2 linked regions of the Ovis aries genome follow. The protein of the gene in region 2 purifies or fractionates together with the protein of the main gene of each other region. This does not show direct contact. Links are inferred from orthologs where the notes say so. Each region holds a gene or a part of one and is shown on either strand. Other genes may lie near its edges.

What was found. The genes of interacting proteins can lie anywhere in the genome.
Region 1: the proteins of RPP40 (region 2) and RPP25 purify together in Homo sapiens (affinity purification with mass spectrometry; 3 studies listed by BioGRID and IntAct, counting the BioPlex papers as one, with this or other methods). This does not show direct contact. The link is inferred for Ovis aries from reciprocal best matches to the Homo sapiens genes RPP40 and RPP25.

The regions. Positions count from the first base shown.
Region 1 is NC_056071.1:31,411,100-31,417,955, reverse strand, and holds RPP25 (ribonuclease P protein subunit p25), read right to left. Parts: upstream 3,803-6,856; 5' UTR 3,646-3,802; coding exon 3,013-3,645; 3' UTR 2,364-3,012; downstream 1-2,363. UniProt on the Homo sapiens protein: Component of ribonuclease P, a ribonucleoprotein complex that generates mature tRNA molecules by cleaving their 5'-ends. Also a component of the MRP ribonuclease complex, which cleaves pre-rRNA sequences.
Region 2 is NC_056073.1:48,684,205-48,691,762, forward strand, and holds the start of RPP40 (ribonuclease P protein subunit p40), read left to right. Parts: upstream 1-3,203; 5' UTR 3,204-3,231; coding exon 3,232-3,354; intron 3,355-4,467; exon of another isoform or gene 4,468-4,533; intron 4,534-5,134; coding exon 5,135-5,279; intron 5,280-6,508; coding exon 6,509-6,577; intron 6,578-7,250; coding exon 7,251-7,346; intron 7,347-7,558. UniProt on the Homo sapiens protein: Component of ribonuclease P, a ribonucleoprotein complex that generates mature tRNA molecules by cleaving their 5'-ends. Also a component of the MRP ribonuclease complex, which cleaves pre-rRNA sequences.

The DNA of each region.
Region 1 (6,856 bases), on a different chromosome or scaffold from region 2:
CAGGGAGGCTCCTTGTGACCTGGCTCCCAGCTCCCACCTGGTATTCCAGTCCCACCTGCTTTGGCTGAGCTTTGTTCAGACACTTGTGGCTGCCTCAACACCAGATGCACCATCACCTCTCTGCCTGGAATTCCTTGTCTAGTCCCGTCCGCTGGCTAACTCTGTCTGGTCACCGCAGAGCCAGCTCCATCAGTACCTCTGAGTGAATTAAGTGCCTCTTCTCAGAACTCCCTTCTCCCACTATTATTGCATTGTGCCATGACTTTCTTTTCCCTCTCCCCTAGACCGGGATATCCTTGCAGCAGAAACTGTGTCTGATTATACTGTGATTCTCCCCCCGACTCCCCACCCAACTCTGTGCTTAGACTGGAACCTGGCACAACAGTGAAGTCCCAGTTGGTGGTCCACTGCCCATTTAACCACATGCTCTGGCCTTAGATTATATTTATTTATGTTCCCAAGTGGATTCTGATTGTGTGACCAGATAGTTTTGGGGGTGTGAGTCTTCACTGCCACCCCTAGCTGGAAGTGTCCCCAAAGGAGGGCCCAGAAAGCTCTTGGATAGAGGTCCTACTGGAAAGATGGTGTCTCACAGTGGGGCAAGGCACTCCCCACTCCCTCCCATTCTGCCACGAGTCAGTTCTTGAAGTGAGCTGTCTCTGAGTTGCTCCCGTGGCCACTCCCTGCCTTATTTCAGTGCTTCTCAGGTTCCCACCTCAGCCTTGGAGTTGAGGGTGGATAAGGGTATCTGTCACCACTTGGGTCAGAAGGGCAAGAAGATCTAGTAAAGCAGGGGTGGGGAGCTCATTCATGGATGCTGGGTTCCACTGGCACCCGTGAGCACCTATCAAAATCCTGGGAACTGAAGCTGCTGGGATGGAGTAAAGGTGCAGAAAAGACAGCCAGTTTCATAACCCACTTTCTAGCATGGGAGGCAGAAACGCAGTCCACCATGTGAGCAGGGTAACACTCTGAAGGTGGGGAAAGAACATGCCCCTCTCCTCTCCACACCACAGGGTGAGTTTCTAGGCTGGAAGGCGACTCACCTGACCCAAGACATCTTCAATGAGAAAGCTTGCATTGTCCTGGTGACCCAGCAATCAGGACTTTAGACACTAGCGATCTTGGAAAATTGACCCTCTTCCAGAACCAAGAGCAGTCTCTCCTAAGACTCTACCAGGCAGGACCTCTTCTGCGCTGGATCATTTAAATTCAGATGCGGATGCCCAGTGCCAGCCCAGGGCAACCTTGTTGTCAGGACAGTTTACATTCTCTCCACACTTCCTGGGCTGCTCCTGAGAGAGTCAGACTCACACACCCCAATCCCTTGGCTCTCCCTAGGGACTCATCAAGAACAAGCCATTAGGGAGAGCAGCCAGTGCCAGAGTCTCTTTGACAAGGCCCACCTATCCAAAGCTCAAGCAGAGCTGGGGGTGAGGGTGAACTCCCTGAAGAGCCCCTTATATCAACTGCAGAAACCTACCTCTTGTTACCAGCAGAAGGATTTATTTCAGCTTTTAGCCTACAAAGTGACTTACATATTTCCCCATCTCCTCCTTTCCAAGGATGCTGTTAAGTTGCAAGGGGACAGGGTCTGCTTCTATGATCTTGGAGCTACATGCCCCTCCCCCTCATATTTGCTAGAGTTCTTCCAGTACACAGCACTCCTTCCACCCTCCCACCTGACTTGGAGTTGGGCAGAAAGGCTTATAAGGCTGTTATCTCTCAACAGACAGCTGTGCAGGGCCAGAGGCAGCAGCTTATCAGGGAGCCTGCAGTGATTCACAGCCCAAGTCCCAGCTTCTCTGCTGAATAGTAATTTCCAGCAGTGGATTTGTGCTCAGTCTCTCCTCCCCCTCTCCCAAGGGTGTGCTGTCCTTTCTCAGAGAGAGCGAGCGAGCAGTGAAGGGTAGATTCTATCCATGGGGCTGGGGGGCTCTGGGCCAGCCGTCTGGTAGGGCTGTTTATTGGCAGGAGGCTGCAGGCTTAGGGAGCCCAGTTGGATCTGCCACCCTTGGCAGTGACCCCCAGGATAGTTCATTGATGCTTCCCTTCCTCCCCCTTCCAGAAAAGCAGTATGCTGCTCCCTTTCCCTTAGTGGTAGCACATAAGGTGACCAAGGTCCCCTTCTGTCCACAAGCCCTGAAGCTACTGGAGCTAGCCAGGGAGGGCTGAGAAAGAGGGAGGAACCAGGCACTGGGTAAGGTGCTCCCAGCACCATTTCAAAGCTGTCCAGTTTCTGTGCCTGACCCATAAGACTCCAAAAGCTAAGGATTCCAGGCTGGAGGGGACTGAGACACAAGGGGGCAGACCAGAGCAGTCTCTACACAGGCTAGTGGTTAGGAAAAAACCCAGGGACAGAGCCTTTTTTGTGTTTGTTTTATTGGAAGCAAGACTCCAGCTGTGGGGCTCAGGGGAGGCGGCATGGAGAGTTCTGTCCTGGGTCTCTCCCTCTGGGCCAGCATGGGGAAAGTGGGATGTTAAAAGAGCCTATGGAGACGCCCCTGCCACCATGATCTCAGGATGCTCCTTAAAAGCAGGGAAAGGAAAACTAGAAACTGTCCTGGGGTGAGGAGCAGAATAGCCCCTTACCCCTTGCCACTCAAAATCCCCCGCCCTCAAGCAGTGGTTTCCAACCCTTTGCCCTCTGCTGACAATGGTGGGGTGGTTTCAAGAGCTCTCCTCAGCTTCCACCTTCGTAGCCCACTTCAAGAATCCTACATGAACCTTTAACCCTTGGGGTTAAAGGCTCAAGAATCCCATTGCCCACCATTCCCTCCCTGAAGAAGGTCCCCGTATGGTTCAGAAAAGCTGAAAGTGTCGTCAGGCAACACAGCTGGAGGAGCAACCCCACCACGAAGCTTCCCTGGGGTCCCCCCTTGTCGCCTTGGGGTCTATGCTTCCACGTTGTAGGTTCCAGAGTACCAAGGCGTGAAAGGCTAGAGATGCATCTCAAGGTCGAAGCTCGAGCGTAGGATTCAGCCCGTCCAGGTGGCCCAGAGGCCGGAGTTCTCAGGCGGTCTGGTCCTCTTCAGCAGCACCTGGCTCGGGTTGTGACCTCTTCGCGGAGCTCTCTCCAGCAGTAGGTTCCCCTAGACTCCTCTTGGACGTCGGAGCAGTTGGCTGGGACGAGGGGCCGGGATGGGGGTTCGGCGGCTGGTACCCGGGTTGGCGCGGATCCAGGGCATCCTTGGAAAGTAGGATGGCGAGGCTGGGCACGTTCTTAAGTACACTGAGACTGGCGGCTGGCTCGCCAGGCTTCTGCCCCGGTGTGGGCTCCGGAGGGAGGCTCTGCCACAGCTCGCGCACGCTCTGGTAGCGCAGCCGCGTGACCTGATGCAGACCCGCCAGGCGGCGCTTAAGGATCTCGGCACACGTGACGGTTTTGGTGGTGGCTCGACCGCAGCCGCTGAAGACGATGGCGCGCGTGGCTGGCTGCGCCATGCTGGCAGTGGCGAAGGCCAGCAGGTTCCGGATCTTGCTGCCCTCCTTGACCCGCATATGCACGGCGCCCGGCGCCAGGTCGGCGAAGGGGCCTGAGCCTGGGCCGCCCTCCTTTTCCCCGCTCCCCACCGGCGCCTCCTCGGAGCGCACCTTACGGAAGTTCTCCATGCGCCGTCGTTGCGGGGACGCGGGCTTCGCCATCGGGCCGCCTCAGCCCCGGGAATGCATGTCGGTGGGTCGCGTCCCGCAAGGGCCGGCAGGGTTAAGGGTGCGGGAGCGGCGTGGACGCTGGCTGGCCGATTGGGACGGTGCGATCCTAGCCTTCCACTTCTCTCCACTGGGCGCTGCTCTACTCGGCGATCTCGGCGCCCTGTGCTACGCGCCTTTAGCTGAGGCCCCGCCTCAGAGCCTGGGAGCCCCGCCCCTGCCGCCGGGCCCCGCCCCTTACCCAGCCCTGCCAGCTCGCGCCCAGCCTCACCAGCAATTCGCCCGCATCCACTCTGGTCCTCTGATATCCGGGTTTGGGAGGTGCGCGCATCGCGGGATGCCATGGCAGTGCCAGGAGTGACCTGCCAGCTGAAGTTTCCCTATAATCACCATCAGCCCTCCCTGAGCCTACCTTCATAAACCTGCAACCTAAATAAAAACTGCATTTGCTGGGCAAACTCAGCTTCAAGCCGGGTCCCCGAGCCCTTCCGCGGTTCAGCTGAAGGCCACCCACCCCTTGCCCGCTCCCAATGAGAGATTTCAAAGCGGCCTTCTGGGGACTGGGACCTCTTTCTCCCACTCCTAGAGGAACGACACCCCCACCCCCACCCCATCCCTTCGCTCCCGAGCCTCTCTTCTCGCCTGAAGGACAGCCTGCACGCTGTCAGCAGAGTGTAGTAGGCGCCGTCTCCGCTCCGCGTCTGCCCTCGACGACTATGTCTCGGCATGGTCCTCGCAGGACAACCGGAGAACTGAGGTCTCAGGCTTGCCGCGCCTGACCGGAGCTGAAGGCTCCCAGACACCCCTGCTCTGCGAACCGAGGCTCTGGGCCAGGCTGTGCCCTGGGATGAATGGGACGAGAACAATGAGACTCCCTTCTCAAGAGGAGTTAAGCTCCCTCCATCCATGCCTGAAAGTCGAGTATTAGAACTGCATGCCCTAGAGTAAGCCAGATATTGTCCTCTGCTCACGTGGATCCCCTTTCTTCTCAGGTGGAATTTGTTGTTAGTCAACCGGGCCCCCTGGGACCCAGTGGGGTCCTTTTCAGAAAAGAGGCTGGGTAAAAGCAGGTTTTGAGGGAGAAGGGAGGTAGCTGGGAAACGGAAATCTCAGGGACAGTTACCGGGTGCCCCTCCCCTGGAACTCCGCAAGACCGAGGGAGTGGCCCGGGATCTCTTTCCAGGAGAGATGGACAGTGAAGGGAGAGATGAGATTGGGCTTTAAAGGACTGCTGATGAGAGAGAGCGGGTTTGTGAAGAATACAGCTGTATTCTTCCTAGAACTGCCCCAGGGCCTCGTCCTTCATCCTTCCACCCCTCGCGGGACACACAGAACTGAAGGTGGGCCAGACCTGATCCGGGTAGGGGTGACTACGATGGGGCGTGGCGGGGTGGAGCCCTGATAGCTGCGGCGGACAGGAAGCCCTTGAAGTGCTGGGGTCATCCCAGTGCCTGGGAGAGCTGGTGCCGAGTCTTGAGACGGGGCTGCTGGGGTCCCCCTCCTCTCCTCCAGGCTGCTTTCGCCTTCTCAGTAACTCGTATCTCCTAGCGCTCGGCCCTGCTGTTTGGAACCCGGGACTGACTCCACTACGGCCCTTTGGGAGTGACTGGAGAGCAGGTGGACTTTTGAGCCCCAGTACATGAATGACCATCCTCTTCTGGGATCTCCTGCTCGCACGCTGGGGAGAGAGGCTCTGGAGGGCGCTTTCGGCTCGGAATCTGTGTTTCTGGCCTGTCGCAGCTCCCGCGGCCCCACCCCCTACCCCCCGAGGAACAGCCGTAGGAGTCGAAGGGCAGCAGTCTGGTGAAGACACAAGAATTTGCAGCACTTGGCGAGGCTCAGGGGTACTCAGGTTCTGTAAAACTGGGGCAGTTGTGGGCCTTAACGGGCATCAGTTTCGTTAGGCCTGAGAAGTCCCCAGACCGCTGGAATCTAAGTCCGAACCGGTTGGTTACGGAAGAAGAGAGCTCTCCATCCACTGGGGTATGTAAGCCTAGGCTGAACGTTCACTTGGAGGGGATTAATCGGGGGTCTTCAGTTTGGAGGAAGGGGTCTGGGAGCTCCGCGTTTACGTCTGTTGAGGATGAGGCAGTTCTGCATTCGCCCGGGTTGGCCTGGAAAGCCTCGCACCGCCATCCCCCTCCACTGCCGCCAGCTGGAGAAGACTCGGTTCACTTCGCTCCCCAATCGGTGAAGGGAGGCTGCGGAAACGGCCCGCGTCCCCTCCCGTCGCTCCCCTCCCCTTCTCCAGCTCCCTCTGCAGCACTTAAAATGTAAATGTACATCATGATTAGCCGCCGGGTCGCTAATTACCGCTGAAGCCATTCATTACCCTGTCAGCGCGCGTCGCAGCCCGCCGGCTGTGCTCTCCTGCCGGGCCGCGGAGTGGCGGGGCTTAGCGGGGAACGAGGACGGGGAGGGGAGCGGAAAGATTGAAAGCGGGGCGGGGAGGCGGGGGCACTGTAAACGAGGGTAGCGAGGTTGGCAGAGGGCAGCCAAGGGCGGGAGAGGGGCCTGTGAGCTGGATGGCCAAGCGCGGGGGTGGGGCAGGGAGAGGCAGAGATGCATTAGACAGTTAGCAAGAGAGACGAAGGGGAAGGAGCAAGGATAGCAGGGGAGGGGAGCGCTGTGGGAGAGGAAACGGGGAGAGAAGCGAGGCCCAGGAAGGACACGCCGGGGGAGGCAGGGAGGAACGGGGGAGGGGGACAGGGGGACCCGGCAGACGCAGCTGGGAGGAGAGTAGAGGGCTCAACTCTTGGGAAGGTGCCTAAGTTGAGCATTTGTGGCGCACACTCCACGACAGAAACGTGGAAAGAGTCAAGACTTTCTGTTAAAAAAGCCTCACAGTAGGACCACAAGTGTTTTTTTTTAAAATGTGTTCATGTTTATAGATGTAAATGCATTTTAAAATTATTTTTATTTTTTTGTAGTGTGTGGTGTTTTCTAGTACACACACTCTGAAGCCTCCGTTTGTGCCTTCAGAATACAAAGTTTAAGCCTGGAGGCTTGGAACAGACTGTGTAATGAGGTCCTGACCTTGAAGTCTGAGCTTCATTAGCTTCTTTTTGCCTCTTTGTGACTTTGGGCCATTAGACCCTGTGCCTTGGTTTTCTCAGCTGTAAAGTGGAACTAATACAGGAACATGCCTCATAAAGCAGTTGTGAGGCACCTAACAGTCTTAAAACCTCGGCTGGTAAGTTCTCAG
Region 2 (7,558 bases):
AGAGATGGAAACTAAGAAAGAATCAAAAGGAATGCCTGGAATCAAAACTAATGTAACTGTGAGACAACTACAGAAGGTGTGACATGCAAATCACAGCTCAACCAGAAGGGAAAGAGAAAGGAGCAGAAGAGATATTTGAAGTAATAAAGGCTGAGGATTTCCCCCAATTAATGATAAACATCAAACCACAGATCTAGGAAGCTCAGAGAGCGCTATGCAGGCAAATACCAAAAAAAACTAAAAAAAATCCTACACCAAAACATGTTGTATTCTAACTGCAGAAAATCAAGGACAAAGAAACGCTTGAAGAAAGCAGAGGAAACAAACACCTTACCCCTACAGGGACAGGGATAAAATTTCACCTGATGTCTCACAAATCATGCAAGCAAAACTGAAAAATCTCTTCAACTTAGAATCCAGTGAAATTATCCTTCAAAAGTGAAGGGACATGCACTTTCTCAGACCAGCAAAAACCACAGGAGACACCCCCTCCCCCCAGCCACAATGGCCGGCAGGCTGGGTCAGTGCTGAGCATGGGCTGCGCGTGGGAACGGCCCAGGACTCACTGATGGCCTGAGCCTGACCGAGTGATGACCACCTGGGCTCCTGGGCCACAGGACAGCCCCGCCGGAGGCTGCATCGTCCACGGGAAGCCCCCGCCCTCAGCCCACCCACCCGCGGCTGCATCCTTCCCCAGCCCGTGAGCTTGTGCCCTAAACCTCGGTCTCTGCAGCCTCCCAGGCTCAGGTTGGGGCCTCTGGTTGGAGACCCTGTGTCTCTCGACAGTTCAGGCGTGGGAGAGATGAGACCACCAGCCACGGTGGGCAGCGCTCTTCAAAGATCCTTGTGAGTCAGCTTGTCTGCAGGCCCCCGAGTCCTCTGCACACACGGGACAGGGTCCTGATCCCAAACTCCACCCCGACACCTGGAGGGAAATGGAGCTGTCCAGAGTGCTAGAATCGCTGAGCCTGGACAGAGCCCTTTCCAGCCCGAGGGGCTGTGCCCTACAGGCCTGGAGCACACAAGGGCTAGAGCCCCAGCTTTAGGAGGAGCCTGATCCAGGCCCAACAGGAGGGTGGTGGCTCCTCTGCCCTCCTCACGAGCTGGAGAGCAGACAGGGAGCGAGGCCTTTGGGCTGACCACCTGCTGTCTGCTGCAAACCCACCTTAAACTGGACCAGCCCCTCCCCCGGGCCAGTCCTCTGTTCACGTGCAAGTTCATTTATCCAAGTTGTTAATATTTTGACTCCTGATGGAATGTTAGGATCTGGGTATGGAAATATGGGTAAGAAGTATTTGTTAAACAAACGTATTTATGGGGCAGCTACCGTGTGCTTGAATGGTGCGAGAGCTGGAAAGGTGAACGGAGTATGCCTGTTGTCCTCCAGGGGCAGTAACTGGTTGGAGAGTCATTCACACGTATTTATTATGTGCCCAGAACCCAGCAAGTCATAAAGAAACGTCTCTTTATTGTTAATCGATGTGTGGTGCAGACAGGTGTAGAGGCTGGGCCCTAGATATATGTCATGTTATTCATATATTCAAGAGATCGTCTGGATGCTGACTGTAGGAGGGCAAGACAGTCGGGAGGCTGGCATTTGCAGTGACCAGAGAGAAAGGCGGCCAGCAGTGGTTGTGGACTAGAGACAGCGCGGAGGGGCGACAGAGCCATTTTGATGAAGTATTGTAGAGAAAAGCTGAAGTTTACACGCATAGGAGTTACACTGAGCCTTCAAAAGTTAATACAACATTTTCACCTAAAGGGCTTGTTAGAAAAGCTTCATGTTGCTTTCACACATTACTGGTGCACCATCAGAATCGCAACAGTCACTTTGCAGAGCTTTGGAGTACCAACCTAGGAGAGGTCCACCTCTGACGCTGCAGGTCTAAGAGAGGCCACTGCTACTGAATTGTGTGGTGCCCATGAAGCAATGCTTTAAGCATTTTACATGCTAATATGATATTTGTAAGTTGTATCTAAGTGCCTTGTTGTGATTTAGGAGATTGGGAATTTTTTGATCAACTTGCTATTTCTTTATCATTCTTCCTATTTAAAATAATGGAAAATTGGTGTCCCTTAGAATATTTGCAGAGATAATCTGACTTTTGAGGCACAGGAGTAATGGTGAAGAACTGACCAGCCTTAGTTTTGGATGAGATTTACACATGTGACTGGCGTGAGTTGCCATTTCCTCCTTTAGGGGATCTAACCCTCATCTCTTGGGTCTCCTGCATTGCTAGGTGGATTCCTTACCACTAGCACCACTTGGGAAGCCCAGACTTACACATACTTATCTTCTAAATTGGGCTTTCCAGGTGGCTTAGTGGTAAAGAATCCGCCTACAATTCAAGAGATGTGGGTTCGATCCCTGGGTCAGGAAGATCCCCTGGAGAAAGCAATGGCTACCTATTCCAGTATTCTTGACTGGGAAATCCCGCGGACAGAGGAGCCTGGCAGGCTACAGACCATGGGGTTGCAAAAAAAGTTGGACACGACTGAGTACTCATGCATCCATGCATCTTCTAAATTATTTAACTTCTCTTCTTCCACATCTTATAGTAAAACTGATGCTCCAGAACACAAATATTCTGTTATTTTGCATCCTCTCTGCATAGAATTGGGCTGTGCAGATTCCAGTTTGAAAAGTGTGTAGTATAGTACTTACAGTTGGTCAGAAAGATTAGGTGGAAAAACGAATTATCACTATAACTTCCAATAGCAACAAATTATTAAAAGCGGTTCCAAAAGTCTATTTTTCATTCTTTTTTTTTTTTTTTTGGTTGCGCCGGCTTGTGGGATCTTCATTTCCCCAACCAGGGATTGAACCCTGGCTCCAGCACTGAATACTAACCCCTGGATGGCTAGAGAATTCCCCAAAAGGATATTTTTAAAAGGATCTTAAAAGTGGTTTTGAAGAAGTCTTAAGGAGTTCTATTGAAGGTATTAGACACAAACCTCCTTGACAGTTTGGGAAGGGGCAACCTGGGGCCCAGAGGAGGGAGTCTGACAAGGGAATTCATTCCGGGCAGTGCGCCTTTCCTTTACCCATCAGAGAGCTCCGGCTGAGGATCCCGAGGCCTAGCCCCGCCCCCAGCGCTAGCCCCGCCCCGGCGCTAGCCCCGCCCCTACCCGGGCAGCCTGCGCACGTGCGCCCTGCCGGCACTGCGCACGCCCGCGGGGCGAGGGAAGGGGCGGGGCGAGCCGAGCCTGGAGGGTCTGCGCGGGGAGAGCATGGCCACGCTGCGCCGGCTGCGAGAGGTGCCCCGGCACCTGCTGGTCTGTGAGAAGTCCAACTTCGGCCATGACAAGTCGCGCCACCGGCATCTCGTGGAGACGCACTATTACAATTACAGGGTGAGTCCTGGCCCTCGGTCCGCGGATCGCGCACGCTCCCTCCCGCGGGCGCGGGAGGCTGGGGGAGAGCCGGGCTCTGCTCCGGGGGCCCGCCCTCGTCGCGTGGAGGGGCGGGGCCCTCGCTCGGCATGCTGGGAGCTGTAGTCTCTCCGTGGCTCCAGGCTCCTGTGTTGGCTCGCTTGAGGACCACAAGTCCCAGGGTGCACCGGTGCGGGGCGGTGCCCCGCCGTCGGAGGGCGGGGCAGGGTTCACGGGGCCTCTGGTCTCTTGCTGTGGCCTGGCCCCGCCCCAGGCGTGCTGCGTCCCTGGGGCGGGGCCGGAAGGCGGGGGCGGGGCCAGGACGGGCGGGGCGGCCGCCCTCCTTCCCTGCCGCTGGGTTCCTGCACCCGCGCGCCTCTCCGGAGCGGCCGGCCCAGTTCCGCCCGGGAGCTGCTTGCTCCTCTAAACCGCTTACGGGCGCTAGTTTGATCCCTGAAAAGCTCTTTCTTCTGCCCGCTGCTCTCCGCCTTGTCCATCCAGAGCGCCAGGGCGGCATTTGGGCAGCTTTTGGTAGAAATTCGCCTCGGCCGCCTTGCCCACAGCGATGTTTGCTGGTGTTCCCTGGAAGTGTCGCCCGCCCCGGGGCCCTTTTCGTGGCTGAGGCGTCAGTGGGGGTGGTTACTGGACCTTCCTGGGGAGGAGAAGCCCCCTGACTCCCGGGCAGTGTCTGCTGGGAAGGCTTCGCGGACCCGTGCAAGTGGGGAGGACTCCAGACTAGACCTTAAAATGGAAGCGCGTGAAGCCTCGCACGCTTTTAAGCTGATCAGCCTAATCTCAGCTCGGCCTCACTGGCCAGTGTCTCAGACACAAGTGGCGACCCCGGTTAGTGTCCCCGCTTTGGGAGAGTGGCCTTTTTCAAGGTGTGGAGCGGCCGGGCACCGCTTGAAACCTGTCGGGTTGAACGTCTCTGCTCTGGATGGATAACTCTTCACAGACAGCCGTCTGGGAGGTGCACTGTGTCCTCCCCAGCCCACGTGCAGAGCTTTTCCGTCGGGACAGTGGGAACACCAAGCTGACTTCTGCTTCCATGTGGCCTGTTAATAACCAGTATCCCCAAATTCCTTACGCCCTAAGGGACAGTTCCTCTGATTCCAGCCTGGTACCAGGATACACAGATCTGGGGATATTCACTTATACTTGGTGAGTCCCTAAGTCTAACCCTAACCCCGCCAGGCTCCTCTGTCCATGGGATTTCCCAGGCAAGAATACTGGAGTAGGTTGCCATTTCCTTTTCCAGGGGATCTTCCTGACCCAGGGATCAAACCTAGGTCTTTTGCATTGGCAGGCAGATTCTTTACCACTGCATTTCCCTAAAAATTAATTAATGTAGTGACAGGAACAGGTCATCAAATATATTGCTTATTTTCAAAAGATAAAACGCAAGCAAGAGTTTCCCATTAAAATTGTTTTTTTTCATTCAATTTCCTATACTGTGCACTTGAATTCAGAAATGGAAAACTTAACTTGTTGGATTTCTCTTTTCCTGAGATTAGTAAATTAATTTCAGACTTTTGCTGAAGGTTGTGGAGGAATGGTTAGTAGCCTTAATTATGTTGTATCATCACTAAATCCCGGGTGTTGATCTGCATGAAAATAAAACTTGTTGAAACCTATAATGGAGTATAATTTGCAAAAATGCTGAATCACATGCTGTATACATGAAACTAGTATAATACTGTAAGTCAACCATGCTTCTGTTATTAATATAAAAATAAGTTTTTTGTGTTGTATATTCCAATAGGTTTCATTTCTGATTCCTGAATGTGGGATACTATCAAAAGAACTGAAAGATCTGGTCATGGAATTTGGACCCTATTACTTTGTGAAGGATTTACCTCTTTATGAGTTAATCACACACGAATTCATCAATTCTTTTGTCAAGAAAGGTAAGAAAAACCTCATAGTGTCTGTGAACATGGTGGGATGCAGAAGGCCAGGGAGGCCACATCACACTTCCGGGGCTCCTGCCTTGTTCGAATCACGCGGATGGAGCGCGTCTGCGAGGTCAGGCGTGCGCAGCCCGCCCTCCGCCCCTCAGTAGCTCAGCCTGCTCTGTGCATCCCCAGGTTTGGTTTCTGATTCCACGGGTCCACACGCGTCCCGTGGGGGTGTTGTCACCCCAAGCTCGCGGAGAGGAAAAGCTTTCCGGCCCCGTGTTCAGATGCACTGCCGTCGGGCGTGGCCGCAAGAACCGCTGTGGTCCGCGCAGTGCCCACAACAGCCGTCTCAGCATGCTGGTCTCCTGATGGAGCCACACTGCCGTCTACACGGCCAGGTGCTGACGGGGGCCCAGCCTCTTCCGCTTGGACCCTGCGGCCCTCATCCCATCTGTGTCTGCTGGGTTGACTGTCTTGTTCCAGTTGCCTCCTGGGAGCCACTCGTTTGAAACCATTCCAGCGTCTTTAAGGATCCGCCCTCACTGCAGGCATCGCCGCACAGGAGCCACTGGCCTCTTGTCGTCGGTCTCAGCGACCCGATTCCTTTCGTTGGTTTTGAGCTGAGGACTTACCTGGCGGTCCGGTGGTTAGGACTTAAGGCTTTCACTGCCCAGGGCCTGGGTTCAATCCTTGCTCAGGGAACTAGATTGACACAAAATACATGGTGCAGCCAGAAAAAAAGCTTGATGCTCCAATTGCTAATGACGTGGGCCCGGGCACGGCAGGCACTTTTACCTGCGCGACTCGACGTCACCCAGCAACAACACTGTGAGATGGGCCTGCAGCCCCATTTTACAGGTGAGGAAATTGAGGCTCAGGGAGCCTGAGCGGCTCTCTTGACGTCGCACAAGCTCTTGGCAGGTTTGAGTCTCACCTGGAACTCGGCCTGGCTGGTGTGTGCGTCCCCTGCCCTTGCTCCCTGGGCCTGTCTGCAGCGTCCGCACAGCTGCACGCGTTTGCCGTGCCGTGGTAGTCGGCTTGCACAGACAGGCCCTGGGTGGGGACCTGGACAAGCAGTGCCTGGCCTCGCGTGTCCTCCACCTTCACTTTGGCTGGTTTAGGGTTATTGAGTGAGCAGGACCCATAACCTGGAGGATTGGTTATCATGTCAAACTAATCCACTAACTTTGCAGGTGTGATTTTTTTTTTCTGAATTTCTCCTCTGGGCTGTCTTTCAGGTTCGTGCTATGTGCTGACATACAACACAAATATTGACGAGGATAATACTGTTGCCCTGCTCCCAAATGGTAAGCACACTCGTTTTTCCTTCATTCTTAAGGAAATGCATACTGTGAAAAAGAAAAAGTCAAAATCATACAGGCGTGAGTAAAGTGATGGTCCACCCTTTCATCCAGCTCCCCTCAAACTCATTCCCGTTCTTAGCAGGAGCCCTTATTAGGAGGTAGGTATTTATTCTTCTAGACACATTCTATGAATTTAAAATCACACATACAGGTTGTTGCTTTTTTTAAATAAAACATATAGTATGTCACACTCTATTTAGTTTCTCAATTACCTTTTTTTCCCAAGGTCTGTTTCCCAGACATCTTTCCATATGGGTGCATACAGTTTTAATTTACTATTTTTAAAGTCTTGAAAATATCCCAAAGAAGAGTACCATAATTTGTTTATTCTTTCTTTAATAAAAAGACAATTTCTAGTTTCACTATAATAAAGAATGTCTTTGTACATGTACTTATAAATAATACTCTTGTTTATAAGTAAGATATATGTGGATAAATAATACACTTGTATTATAAAAAGATCTTTGTGTGCACTGGTATTTAACTGCTCAATTTGCCTTGCTTTCTCTTTGAGAACATGTTATATTTTTATTTTGTTTTATTTTTTAACACCAAAAACAGGAGAACGAATTATGTGTTTAATGTCTCTTTATGGGAATTATTATTTGATTTATAGGGAAATTAATTTTATCCCTGGATAAAGACACGTATGAAGAAACTGGACTTCAGGGCCGTCCGTCTCAGTATTCTGGCAGGAAAACCATGAGATTCAGTAAGTATGGTGCTCTCTCCATCAGTCTCTAAAAGGTGGTGCCTTCTGTAGCAGCTCGAGTTTTCCTGCTTGAACTGCTTCTGTTCTCTTTGGGCAGAAGCAGTGTGGCTTTGCCTCGTCTTTAAAATTCCTTATCAGAGAGGATCTCATACGACCGCATACGACTGTGAGATTCGACCGCGTCTCACAAAGGTCGTAGGCGGGGGCCTGGT